3 linked regions of the Cricetulus griseus genome follow. The protein of the gene in region 3 interacts with the protein of the main gene of each other region in a biochemical or structural test. Links are inferred from orthologs where the notes say so. Each region holds a gene or a part of one and is shown on either strand. Other genes may lie near its edges.

What was found.
Region 1: the proteins of Prkcb (region 3) and Rack1 form a complex in vitro, tested with the Homo sapiens proteins (2 studies listed by BioGRID). The link is inferred for Cricetulus griseus from reciprocal best matches to the Homo sapiens genes PRKCB and RACK1.
Region 2: of the proteins of Prkcb (region 3) and Rasgrp3, one has a biochemical effect on the other in vitro, tested with the Homo sapiens proteins (2 studies listed by BioGRID). The link is inferred for Cricetulus griseus from reciprocal best matches to the Homo sapiens genes PRKCB and RASGRP3.

The regions. Positions count from the first base shown.
Region 1 is NC_048600.1:63,457,191-63,461,423, forward strand, and holds the start of Rack1 (receptor of activated protein C kinase 1), read left to right. Parts: upstream 1-1,361; 5' UTR 1,362-1,483; coding exon 1,484-1,592; intron 1,593-1,867; exon of another isoform or gene 1,868-1,935; intron 1,936-2,592; coding exon 2,593-2,764; intron 2,765-3,013; exon of another isoform or gene 3,014-3,093; intron 3,094-3,248; coding exon 3,249-3,396; intron 3,397-3,829; exon of another isoform or gene 3,830-3,897; intron 3,898-4,075; coding exon 4,076-4,171; intron 4,172-4,233. UniProt on the Homo sapiens protein: Scaffolding protein involved in the recruitment, assembly and/or regulation of a variety of signaling molecules. Interacts with a wide variety of proteins and plays a role in many cellular processes.
Region 2 is NC_048600.1:8,319,335-8,323,572, reverse strand, and holds the start of Rasgrp3 (ras guanyl-releasing protein 3), read left to right. Parts: upstream 1-1,370; 5' UTR 1,371-1,726; intron 1,727-4,238. UniProt on the Homo sapiens protein: Guanine nucleotide exchange factor (GEF) for Ras and Rap1.
Region 3 is NC_048596.1:78,377,617-78,381,854, forward strand, and holds the start of Prkcb (protein kinase C beta type), read right to left. Parts: upstream 2,808-4,238; coding exon 2,635-2,807; intron 1,633-2,634; coding exon 1,601-1,632; intron 1-1,600. UniProt on the Homo sapiens protein: Calcium-activated, phospholipid- and diacylglycerol (DAG)-dependent serine/threonine-protein kinase involved in various cellular processes such as regulation of the B-cell receptor (BCR) signalosome, oxidative stress-induced apoptosis, androgen receptor-dependent transcription regulation, insulin signaling and endothelial cells proliferation.

The sequences.
Region 1 (4,233 bases), on a different chromosome or scaffold from region 3:
GTTTCTCTGTGTAACATTCTTAGCTGCCCAGGAAATCACTCTGTAGGATAGGCTGGCCTCAAACTCATTGAGATCCGCCTGCCTCTGCCTCCCGAGTGCTGGGATTAAAGACATGCGCCACCACCACCCAGCTCCCTACTTCACTCTTAACCACATTGCCTTACTCTACCACAAGATGTAAATTATTGCAAACAAAATGGCCATCTGGCTTTTTCTTTCTTTCTTCTGTTCATAGCTGTATCCTAAAGCCTAAAACAGCAGTTCAGCAACAGAACTAAAATAAATAAATGTGACCTTTAGTTCATAGATGTTAGTGGTTGCTACCATCCTAACTGGTGGTCCTTTTTAAAAATATTTAAACTGGAGAGATGGCTAAGAGGTTGAAAGCACTGGCTGTTGTTCTTCAAGAGGTCCAGAGTTCAATTCCCAGCAACCACAAGGTGGCTCACTACCATCCATAACGAGATTTGCTCTCTTCTGGCGTGCAGGAACATATGCAGGCAGAACACTATATGGATAAATAAATTTAAAAATTAAAAAAAAAATAGGCGGGCTGGGCGTTGGTGGCGCACGCCTTTAATCCCAGCACTAGGGAGGCAGAGGCAGGCGGATCTCTTGGAATTCGAGACCAGCCTGGTCTACAGAGTGAGTTCCAGGATAGGCTCCAAAGCCACAGAGAAACCCTGTCTCGAAACCCAATTCCCCCCCAAAAAAACCAAACAAACGAAAAAAAAAAGTTGTAAAATTTAAGGAGAGATCTGTGACATCGGAGGGCCACTGCAAACTTAAGTGTTGAGATTAAGGTCATCAGGTTACCAAATTATCAGTGTTCCTCCGCTTCCCTGTCCAGCCACTTCTTTCAGGGCTACACAAGACAAACTAGCAGGCTTTTCTGTGGAATGGTCAGAGTCACAGAAAGGGATTCCAATAAAAATCCCTTAAAACAAAAGGGCCAGATTGGACGGCACACGCCTTTAATTGCAACTTCAAATATACTTCCTTAGGTCATAGCTTAAATCGGAGTCGCCAACCCAGGAACCGGAACACCAAGCGAAAAGGGCGGGGCGCCGTCTCTGCCACGTAGCCGGGGAGGGAGGAGCCGCTGCAGTATGGCGATGAGCCGGTCGTCTTACTTTTCCTTCCTGAACACGTACTAATCTGCCGAGGAGCCTTTATTAAAACCCAGTAAAGCTTACTTAAGAACGCATTTGTTCAGCAGTCGCCAAATTATGTTCCGTGGCAGAAGAAACGGCGACATTGCGACTTACCGCGCCCAGCCCCTCCCACTACCTGGTGACGCCATCTTTGAGCAGCAGGGAATCATGGGAACCCCCGCCTTGCTCTCCGGGTATTTCCGGTTCCGCCGGAGGCCGCTCTTTCTTTTTCTCCGCGGCGTCGCTGTGGCTGCCGCTGTGGTGCTTGGCTCTCTGAGCTATCCGGTGCCATCCTTGTCGCTGCGGCGACACTCGTATCAGCTGCAGCCATGACGGAGCAGATGACCCTTCGTGGGACCCTCAAAGGCCATAACGGCTGGGTAACACAGATCGCCACCACCCCGCAGTTCCCAGACATGATTCTGTCTGCGTCTCGAGGTACGGGCTGCATGCCGGGCGAAATAGCGCGTTTCCCGGGGACTGCGCGTCTCCTGGCTTCGCAGGTGGCGCGTGGGTTGGCTGGCTTGGTCCATTCCCCCACCCAGTTATGAGTTGGGGCGTGCAGACCCGAACCTGGGCCCCAACTAGGGCGACCCTTTGCACATGGACGGAAACCGAGAGGTGTCGCATAACTCCCATAAGATTAGGTGACTAAATCTCTTCGTCTGTCTTCTCGAGATATATTTAAGTAGTTAGGGAGCTACAAGCCAGGCGGAGCAATGATGACCCCAACATGCCATCTGAGCTACTTTGCTGAAATCCAGAGGCTGTTTCTGAGCTGCCGTCTGGCCCTGAGCTCTGAGCAGTGCGTAAACTAAGGCTTTTTATTTTTCCTCATGACTTATCTTTATCATGATTTGCCCACCCAGGTCTCCCTATCTGCCCAAATTTATGTTCATTCTCGTGTGAAGCTTATCAGGCACTTTATTCGTTTCTGTATGGTTTGACATGGTGCATGGCTAGGACTGTCTTATTCTACCATAGCTACTGCATTTCTAGTCAACCCTTAAAGGCACAAAAGGTGGTCTGCTTATCCCACACCCAAGTGACTTTGCTACTTTTGAGTTAGCCTTGTGCTGGAGTGATGATAGATAAAACTGGCTCCTCAAGGGGACTAGGTAAGGTTTGTTTCCCAGAACCCACATGGTGACTTGCAATTGTAGGTAGTTACAGGGAATCTGACACCCTCTTCTAAAAACAACATGGGCACACATGGAGGGGAAACATTCAACACAAATTAATCTTGGGTTGGATTTGAGTTTCAATCCCAGCAAGTGTGGTACCCCATAGTCTCGGGTGTGCCTTACATCTTTTCAGTTCCTCTCACTGAATGTAGTGATGCTCCCCTTGTTATTACACCAGTAACCGTAAAGCACTGTAAATTATGCCCAGTATATAGGTGTGGGTGCCTATGTAATTTCTTCCCCAACCTTTTCAGACAAGACCATCATCATGTGGAAGCTAACCAGGGACGAGACCAACTATGGCATACCACAGCGTGCGCTTCGAGGTCACTCCCATTTTGTCAGTGATGTCGTTATCTCCTCTGATGGCCAGTTTGCCCTCTCAGGCTCCTGGGATGGAACACTGCGCCTCTGGGATCTCACAACGCAAGTAGCTGCTTTGGGACCTTGGGGGAGAGCTGGGCAAAATTGAGGTAGATTCCCGAGGGTGTGGTCTCCCTCGGAAATTGGTTTTTTTATGGAGGGTGGGGTAAGATGTTGGTGTTGACCTCTTTGAGGAGGGAGCTAGAGGGCTGTCGTGTAGTTGGAGCGTTTTTACCGGGTACCGCCAGCTGTTAAAATAAGTGTTTCATCTTGAAAGCTGTCCTAGATGAGCATTTGGCAGGTGTAATAGAGGATCCTAGTGATGACAAGAAGACATTGTCAACCAATCCCCACAAGGGAATGAGGACATGTCCTGCAATTCTGAATGGGTTCTCTGGCACATACCAAGAATGGGCTAATAATAGAACAAAGCCACATATAAGCTGTGTGGAGTGATAGAGCCTACTGGAGCAGCAATGTAGCCAAGAAAAGGGTCTGACTAAAAGGATAAGATTTGTCTAGAAAGTGACCAGGTTCTCCCATTTAGGGGCACCACCACGAGACGATTTGTAGGCCATACTAAGGATGTACTGAGTGTAGCCTTCTCCTCCGACAACCGGCAGATTGTGTCTGGATCTCGAGACAAGACCATAAAGTTATGGAATACTCTCGGTGTCTGCAAATACACTGTCCAGGTAAAGTGATGGAGGTAAAGGCTACAAGTTAGAGGTTATCTCCCAGCCCTTGGGGATTTTGTTGCAGTTTTGAGATGGTTCATTACTATGTAACCCTGCTTAGACTAGAACTTTGGTCTGCTTATTGCATGCTGGGATCAAAGCTGTGTGCCACCATCTAGCTCTTTTGTAATGTGTGGCATTTGTCTGGGATTTGGTTGGTTTTTACTATATATTTAATGCATTCTTGCTCATGAGTGGCTTGGGACTTGGGAGTTGATTTTTCTTCTGAGTTGGGGCATGGAACCCTAGGCCAAGGCATCTATTGGGCAGGCCCTTACACATGAGCAAATACCCAGATGTGTCCCATAACTTCCCTAAGGGTTAGGGGGTTTTAAAATCTCTACCTACCTCCTGGAAGTATGTTTAAGTACTTGGGGGCTACAAGCCAGGCAGAGCAGTGATGACTCCAACATGCCATCTGAGGTGCAGTGCTGAAATCCAGAGGCTGTTTCTGAGCTGTGCCTGGCACTGTGCTCCATGAGGAGGCATCCTAGGACTCAAATATGAATCAGCAGGCTTGACAAATGACTTTACCAACTGTTCTGTTGATCCAGAAGTATAGGTTTGCCAGAGAGTGCTGTTGCCCCACTTAGGGTAGTTATCTGTAGTCCTCTTACTTACCTTGCATCTTCTGTAGGATGAGAGTCATTCAGAATGGGTGTCTTGTGTCCGCTTCTCCCCGAACAGTAGCAACCCTATCATCGTCTCCTGTGGATGGGACAAGCTGGTCAAGGTGAGCTTCAACAATGGCCTGGCCCCATTAGAAATCTAAAAATGTTCCCATTCCTCTGAGAT
Region 2 (4,238 bases), on a different chromosome or scaffold from region 3:
TAAGTACCATCAGGGTCTGCCCTTAGCTGTAAATAGAATTGGCAAAGAATCTCCATATTGTTTCCCCTGTTAATCACTGAAGAGTTTCCAGAAATCTCCCTCTTCCTTGACTATTTGGTGCATACTGGATTGTCAGGATAATGAAGTGACTGACACGGATCATCAGGTCCAGAAGTTTCTGTTACTGTAAACAGGGAGTATAAATAAATCAGAAGAGAATTCCAAATGATTAGCAGACTTCCTCTTCTGTAGGTGCATGGAGATTGAGTCACCAACACAGGAGTGAAAAATCCTGTGGAGATGATGTGTTTCAGGGCGTTGCATCCTCAGATCTGGAGTTTATATCTATTGCTGACTTTAAACTCTCACTGATGGGTTTTGATATTCCCAATGGTTTCCATTTATACTCTGGGCTTTCACAATTAGGTAAAAAGTTAGACCTGAGAAATTGATCCTCTTCCTCCACTTCTTCCTCCCCTCCTTTCTTTTTAATAATAAATTTTATACAGAGGGAAATTTCTGGATTAATTTTCACCACAAATAATTATAAGATGAACCCCAGTTTGGAAGATGGGCCATACATGCTCCTGAGAGAGTTTACACTTGTTAAAAATCAAGGCTGACAGTAGCAGGCTAGTATGACTCAGAAATCCCCTGGGAGACTTTAACCATGCATTGCCGATGTTCTCTTTTCCAAATGAGCAGACTGTCTGCCACATCTCCACTCTCCCTCCAAAGGTGAGCTCCTCACCTTAATATTCCAAGAAGTCCGAGACTCAAGGCCAGACACCTTCTAAAGCCACACACTCCAAAGGTTTTCTTAGGAGAGAAAAGTGATAAAGATGAGAAGGGAAAACTAAACCCTGGTGGATCCAACACAGTGGGCCGGCTAGTCTGCCACTGCTGCGAGCCACACAGAAACTGCTTCTGTCCCAGCTTCCCAGCAACATATTTGCAAAGTGGTAGTTTCTCTTTCCAGTCACCCTGACTGACAATCTCAACTGCTCTGTGGTTCCCCAGAATGTAGACAGCAATGTGGAAGTGAGGTTTGGGGCCACAGATAATCATTTCCATGGCTTTTTGACAAAACTTCATGGGATATTCTTCCATCATCCCCTATGTTCTTGCCCCTGGCCATCTCTGGCTGCAGCAGCCCTGAAGCATTCTTAAGAGGGCTAAAGTTTGCCCTCCTTGGGACAGTCCCCTTTATTGTGTGGAGAACCCTGGAGTTCTGAGAAAATGAAACCAAGATTGACTATTGTAAGAGCACCTGACCTGTAAAAGCAACTTCCACCTGCTGGCTTGAACTCCTGCTTCCCTTTTCTTGCTGACTAGACACACCTTAAGTGAGGTGGGAGAGTAGAGGCTGTCAGCCTCCCCACCCCCACACAAACGCAGTTAGCTTTCTGTTTGCAGTGACCTGCCCTCCTGTGTGACTTATCAGCTCTTCGGGCATTTATCTCTAGAAGGAAAACAAACGGTGGAATGTCCTGCCCCGCATGCTAATGAAGTGGCCAAGCCCACCCACAGCTTACCAGAAGGTTTACCAGCTGGGAGAATAATGAGCTTCGGTTTCTGACCTCCTGGCACCGCTCGGTGTTTATCAGGAGGTGCATATGACTGGTTAAGACACAGCCTGGCTCGAAGGGAACAGCCGCTGGTGGCATGCTCACACTTGGCAGCCAGACAGGCAAAGCGCTGCTGTGAGGAAGAGAAACTCACCCTAGTAAGTCAGTAACCTGAGACTGTCCTCTCTCTCTCTCTCTCTCTCTCTCTCTCTCTCTCTCTCTCTCTCTCTCTCTCTCTGTGTGTGTGTGTGTGTGTGTGTGTGTGTGTGTGTGTGTGTGTGTGTGTGCTCGAGATTCAAGCCACCACCAATTTATTATGCCATCTGGATTTTGGTACCCTGTGACATTGTATTTGTATTTGTTAATTTGTGGGTTTTACTATTTAAGACTGTTCTTTTTAGCCACAGTGTCTTCTAACTTTGAGGATGGAAGACTTTGTCTAGCAAAGGAGTTGATTTCTAGGTGTCCCAGGATTTTTAGGTTCATAGCCAGGATTTAAATCACCTAGGAGTGAACTGGTGGGTAGGAGCAGATGGCTGGAGTTTTGCTAATATTTTATCACTGAAACTTGGAAAACCATATCTGTTAAAAAAAAATGGTGAATTTATGGTATGACTGACTTGACCATTGTGAGTCAATTCTGAAAAAGAATTGTGTAAGAGTCTGCAAAACACACTTATAAATTGACATCTGCATCAAATGTCACTTGAGGTTCTAAGCATGCTTTCCGGTTCATTGAACGCTTAACTTTACAATATGTTTCTTCTATAAACTCACACTCGCTCATGACTTTAAAGCTAACATAATGCTGGGTGGTGTTGGCGTACATCTTTAATCTCAGTACTCAGGTGGCAGAGGCAGGCGGATCTCTGTGAGTTCAAAACCATCCTGGTCTACAAGAGCGAGTTCCAGGACAGCCTCCAAAGCTACACAGAGAAACTCTGTCTGGAAAAAACAAAAAATAAAACAAAACAGAACCATAATAAAAGCTAACATAACACTTCCAGTTGTTTTGGGTCCTCCTTGTTTTAGTAGCTGTGTGGTGCTCAGGGTCTTTGGTTTTTTGTTTGTTTGTTTTGTTTTATTTTGTTTTTTCTCCTTGTTGATGACTCAGATTATGAAAGCGTTCAATGACAGAGTTTGCTCTGGATAGAGTGGCAAAGTGGGAACACCAGTGGGTCAGAGCTGTTGCTCAGGGACTTTTGGCCCATGTGGAGGAAAGAGTAGGCAAAGGTCTGACTGATGATGTAGCCTCTAAAAGTGGCAAGCCTCTGCATCAACAGGGCAGGAAAGATGACCAGGCAGGTTCCTTTTTCTGGATTGCCTGGTCAGTCCTGAGGGATCAGAGCAGGGCTGTATTCTTTCAGAGTCTCAGGAGATGGTGTTTTGCTTGAGATGCGACTAGGATCTTCTGAGTTGAGCTTCCCCAAGATTACTGATGGTTTGCCCTCAAGAGTCAAGTTGTTCCCTTTGCTTGTAAGCTCTGCCTGAGGGCACACAGGTTCCTCTTCACCCCTACCTTGCCCCCTTGCATGTGGAGATGGTATGAAAATAATGGTGAGTCTCCAAAGAAGCACAGCTGACCTTGAACATCTCACCAGCCATGATCCCTAAGGAGACAGCTTTGGGTGCTCTGTGGGGTGGGTGTGGGAGGTGTAAAAAAAACAAAACAAAAACAACAAAAAGAGACTAATCTGGCTAGTCTGGCACCTGAAGCTCTTCTTTTCCTTAAAATGTGGAAGAATCTGCAAAAATCTTGAGTGTCCAAGGAGGGAAAAAATATAGCTCCAATTCTTTGTTCCTCTTTATGCCATTTTGTGAGGTCCTGGAATCAGCTGGCATCTTCCCTGTATAGCCTGGGACTTCTTCCCTGTCTCACTGCAGATGGCTGCTGTTTCCTGGGCCATTCTTGAGAGTTCCTGTTTAGCAGAGTCCACATCTTCTACAGGTTAACAATGGAGAAAACAAAACCAAAACAAAAACCTCTCCAGTGAAATCTTGTCTCCAGAATAATAGCTCCTCTGATAATAAAATGAAATATCTATTGACTACTAAACTAAGGACCATTCTCAGATGAGACAATAGATTTATGATAATATACAGGGATGAGGTGAATCTCGGTGGTCAGCACTTGCCATGAAGTCCTGGGTAAACACTTCTTCCCCACCAAGCATATCCAATGGGATGTCTATGTGGGACTCAGTGTCCTCTGAATTGTCCAACTTCTGAAGTTTTGACCTCTCAAAGATTTTGAGCAATGCAGTGATACCCCCTTTTCAAAGTACTGATAAAAATTATTTTTAAGAAGTCATTAATTTTACTTGCAAATAATATATATCACAGTGTCAAAGAACTTTAGATCTGGGTATGAGTTGTAAAATGTTCAGTTAAACACATGCATTTTGAAGATGGGGAAAATTGCAGCACATGTTTCTACTGTAGTAACTATATTCCAATGTAGAAGCAGAAAAAAATACCTAAGGTTCGGATACTGGTAAAGAGATAATCAATACTAGTAAACATTGTGTATTCTTCTTGTGCATTTATCATACCTAATGATGTCCACAGGTGTATGCATTTTCATAGACTGTTTATAGTAATGTTACCTGTTGTCTAACCAGTGTTTGGCTCACGGTACCGTGGCTTAACAATTTTATCAACTGTGTAATG
Region 3 (4,238 bases):
CATTCCCTGAAAATCACAGAGCCAAGTCCACTTGTTGGGTCTTTTTATTTTTGCCTGCAGAGTAACCTTGCAAGGCAAAGCTTGCTCGTGGGCACTAAGACACACTTCAGGGTATTCCACACCCTAATGCTTTCTTCTCCAGATTTAAACCCAGTTTACAGGGTAGTGGATGTCAATTTACCCTGAGCACACCTGTAATCCCAGCACTTGAGAGGCTAAAAGAGGAGGCCAGAAGAACATCCAGATCAAAGCCAGTCTGGGCCCGAAGTCAGACTGAGAGAGAAGAAAAGGGGATGGAGAAGGGAGATAGGAAGGAGAGAGGAAAAGATAGGAGGAGCAATGAGGACAAGGGAGGGGAGGACAAGGGAGAGGAAAGTAGGGGAGGAGTGGAATAAAGAACCATTTCTGACTAAACTCAACTACACCTGGCCTAAAGGGGCAAAGGGGAACAAACTAGCAAATTCAAATGGCTAAGGAGATCAGAAGTAGGCCAGTGTGGATGGACAGACACAGTGGTAAATGTGTCCCCTGTCTTGGCAAATGGATAAATGGATGTCCTCAGTTCCAAATGATTGCTTTAGCATGAAAGTAGAGCCAATGTTCAACAAGTTGAAGCTGTATACATGAGTATGTACGTGCGTGTGTGCGTGCGTGTGTGTGTGTGTGTGTGTGTGTGTGTGTGTGTGTGTGTGTGTGATCTTGCAGTTCTAAGATGCTAACACCAAATTCATAAACTATGGCATTCTAAGGGTTAAACAAGTCTAAAGCTAGTCATCTTTGGAGATCCAATTTAAAACCCATCTTTTCCCCTCCCCGCTTCGGGTGATGCATTCCAGAACCTCTCTAGCACAAAGCAAGCACTCTCCTGAGCTACATTGCCCAGCTCTCAGGCCATCTTGTAGACATGAGCCCTAGAGACAGAAGAGGCCACCAGGTCTCTGATATTTGATAGGGCACCCCTAAGTTGGAATCATGGCTCTCAAGCCAGATGCAAGGACCCAGGCAACCAATCTCTTGGAGCTCTTCCTGTGCCTCCTCAGAAGTTAAAAAGGGCAATCTCAGGCAGGATCCGAGAGGCACCCTATGTGCAACCACCCCTTTCAGAGAGGGAGGAGGCCCAGGGGAAACCACAGTTGCTTTTCTAGGGGATGCGCCATCTGCAGAGGAGGCAGCCACCTGCTGAGACCTCTGCAAAGCAAGGAAAAGAGGCTGAACCTCGTTCTGGGAGGTGGGGAAGAGCAATGTGCAGGAAAGGGCTGAGATTAGGAAGAAAGATTGGTTCCCTCCACACACAGGAGTCCTTCAGGACATTTCCTTACTTAAGCAGGGCTGACAATTCCAATAGAATGCTCAGAAGGCAGAGGGATGGATGCACTTTTTGACATTTAGGGCCTTCCAGCTCCACTAGCCTCTCCTGGATGGTGCATCACTGGCCCAAACACACACCCCTTAAAAGGACCCTGTGGTGGTGAAGGATTCCTAGCCTGGGAGGTCACTCTGACAGGCAGGATTACTTCACTCTGCCTAACTCAGCCACGTCTGCAAAGTCTGTTTTAGCCTCACTTTCCACCAGCAGTATCCACAGAGCCACAGAGCCTACCTTGACACTGGAATCCCTGCTTCCCGAAGCCCCTGTAAAAGCACAAAGAGGAGTATCAGTCTGAGGGGTCCAGTTACCAGCTGGTTTCACACAGTAGCCCCCTCCCTTCCCACTGTCCCTCTACCTCAGATGCAACCTCCTAGCTACAGGCCGGTGTTCAAGCGTCTTCCACCTTGGATAGGGTTGTGGGGTACATTGTTGGGGCTTGGCAGTTAACTCCCCCCTCAGATCTCCCCGGTAGTTCAGACGAGACCGCGACCACCAGGTGGCGGGGTACGAGGGTGCATTTCCGTCCGGGTGGGGGCGGAAGGCGGGCTGGATATCTGCCCAAGGAAATGCCGGGAGTACCCTCGGGGAAAGAGAAAAGGACCTGTCTAGAGGGAGGATGAGAGGGACTCCTCCGCAGCGATGTCCCCTGAAAGACTAGGAGAAAGAAAAGGTCGCCCCACTCCTGGAGAGGCAGGGAGAATAAAGGGGCCCTGCAGCAACGTGAGGGTGAGAACTGAGGAATAAGGGGGGCTCAGGATTCTGGGGACGCAGTAAGAGATTAGCCAGGGCGCTACTCTAGGGACACGTTGGAGGGAAGGATGCTCCACGCCCCGGGGAACCAGAGGACACCCCAGGGAGCTGCCCCGGAAAGGAGGGGTGAGGGTGAGAGCGCCTCGAGCCCGGAAGAAGGCAGAAAGATCGGGAACCCCAGGCGAGAAAGACACCCGCGGAGCTGCCCTGCCGAGGAGGGACAGTCACCAGGCGCCCTGAGCCAGGTGTCAAAAAGGCGCCTGCAGCGCTGTCCCTGGGTGCTCAAGCGACAGAGTGCAAGAGGGCAGGAGGTGCCTGGGCCAACCGTCTGGGACCAGAGGACCCAGCACCTGGGGGATTAGCCATCCCAGAGAGCGGGACAGAAGGGTCCAGCGGGATGGAGATGAGCACCCGGTTCCTCGGCCCCCCCCCAACCGAGGACGACTAGAGGGGTCCCCACGCGTGTCGCTGCCCTCCGGGGCCCCGGGCAGGTGGCCCGCGCGGCGCGCTCTCACCAGATGAAGTCGGTGCAGTGGCTGCAGAAGGTGGGCTGCTTGAAGAAGCGGGCGGTGAATTTGTGGTTCTTCACCTCGTGCACGTTCTTCTGCCGGAGGGCGCCTTTGCGGGCGAAGCGCACAGTGCTCTCTTCGCCCTCGCTCGGCGGCGGCCCCGCAGCCGGGTCAGCCATCTTGCGCGCGCGGGGACCGGGGGGAGCCCCGAGAGGTGGCGGCCCCGGGGCGGCGGGACCGCGGGGCTGCGGGCCCGGAGAGGCGCGGCGCGGGACTAGGCGGCCGCTGCTGCCGCCGGGGACCGCGGGGCCGCGCTGCCCCTTCGCGCCGGCTCTGGTGGCGGCCGCGCGCGCGGAGCTAGGCTGTCACTCGCCCAGCTGCTGCCGCTGGTCCAGCTGTGCTTGGCACCGCTGGCCCCAGCTGCGGGGGAGGAAGGCGGAGCCACAGGGTAACCCCGCCTCCCTCATTTGCATCGGACCCAGGCCCCGCCCAGAGCCTCCAATTGCTTTACATATTGACACCACACACACACACATACACACACACACACACACAGAGGCTCTCTCTCTCTCTCTCTCTCTCTCTCTCTCTCTCTCTCTCTCTCTCTCTCTCTCTCTCTCTCTCTCTCTCTCTCTCTCTCTCTCTCTCTCTCTCTCACACACACACACACACACACACACACCACACACACACACGCTGCAGCCTGCCGGCCTCCCAACCAAGTGTTCTTAGCCGCAGCGCTGCAGCGCGGGGACCGCAGACTGCGCTGGACAGACCCGAGCCGCACCCCTGGCACCCTATCTTCAGCCCCTAGTGCATTAAGATGAGCACCTCCGGTTCCCCAATGAGAACCAAATGCAGAAGGGCCTGAGGGGCTCAGGGAGAAGAGGGTGGAACAGGCTGGACACAGCCAGTTTCACCGTGGCCTCTGCAGAGACTGATACCCAACACCCTCCATCCATCCCATTGGTCATTCCTCATGCGTCTCCTGAAGGGATGGGCTTTCGCTGTCACTCATCCGGAAAGGACTGTGGCCACACACACACACACACACACACACACACACACACACACACACACACACACGTTCTGCAGAGGTAAGGGAAGAGCATGCTTTATATTATACATATCTAACTCCACCACAAGGAAGACTTGTCTCTGTCTCTGCTTGCTTGAACCCTTAGAAGAGAACTCTCTCCACAAAAGGACTCAGTTCCCCCAACTATAAAATGAGGCTAATAAGGAGGGGGGATAAATTTAACAAATGAATGTTTCCCTAAATGCCATTCACTTTGGACCCAGCTTCACAAAGCCTAGTCATATTTGTTCAGTGTCTTAAAAGGAAAGGTCTATGAGGTTGGATGTACCGAGGTTTGTGTTGTTAAAATCTCTCTGGGTTCTGTGGTCATGTGAAGCCTTTGTTTATTGGGAAAGGAGATTCCAAAGTATTTGGGGCACATTAATATCCAATGCCACACTCTCCCCAGATGAAAATTAAAGAGTGAGAAGGTAATCAATGATGACATTGGGTGTTATATAAGGTACCGCACCTAAGTCCCCCACCCCTGTCATGCTCTACACCCTGGGAATCAAGGATGGCATCAGTGAAC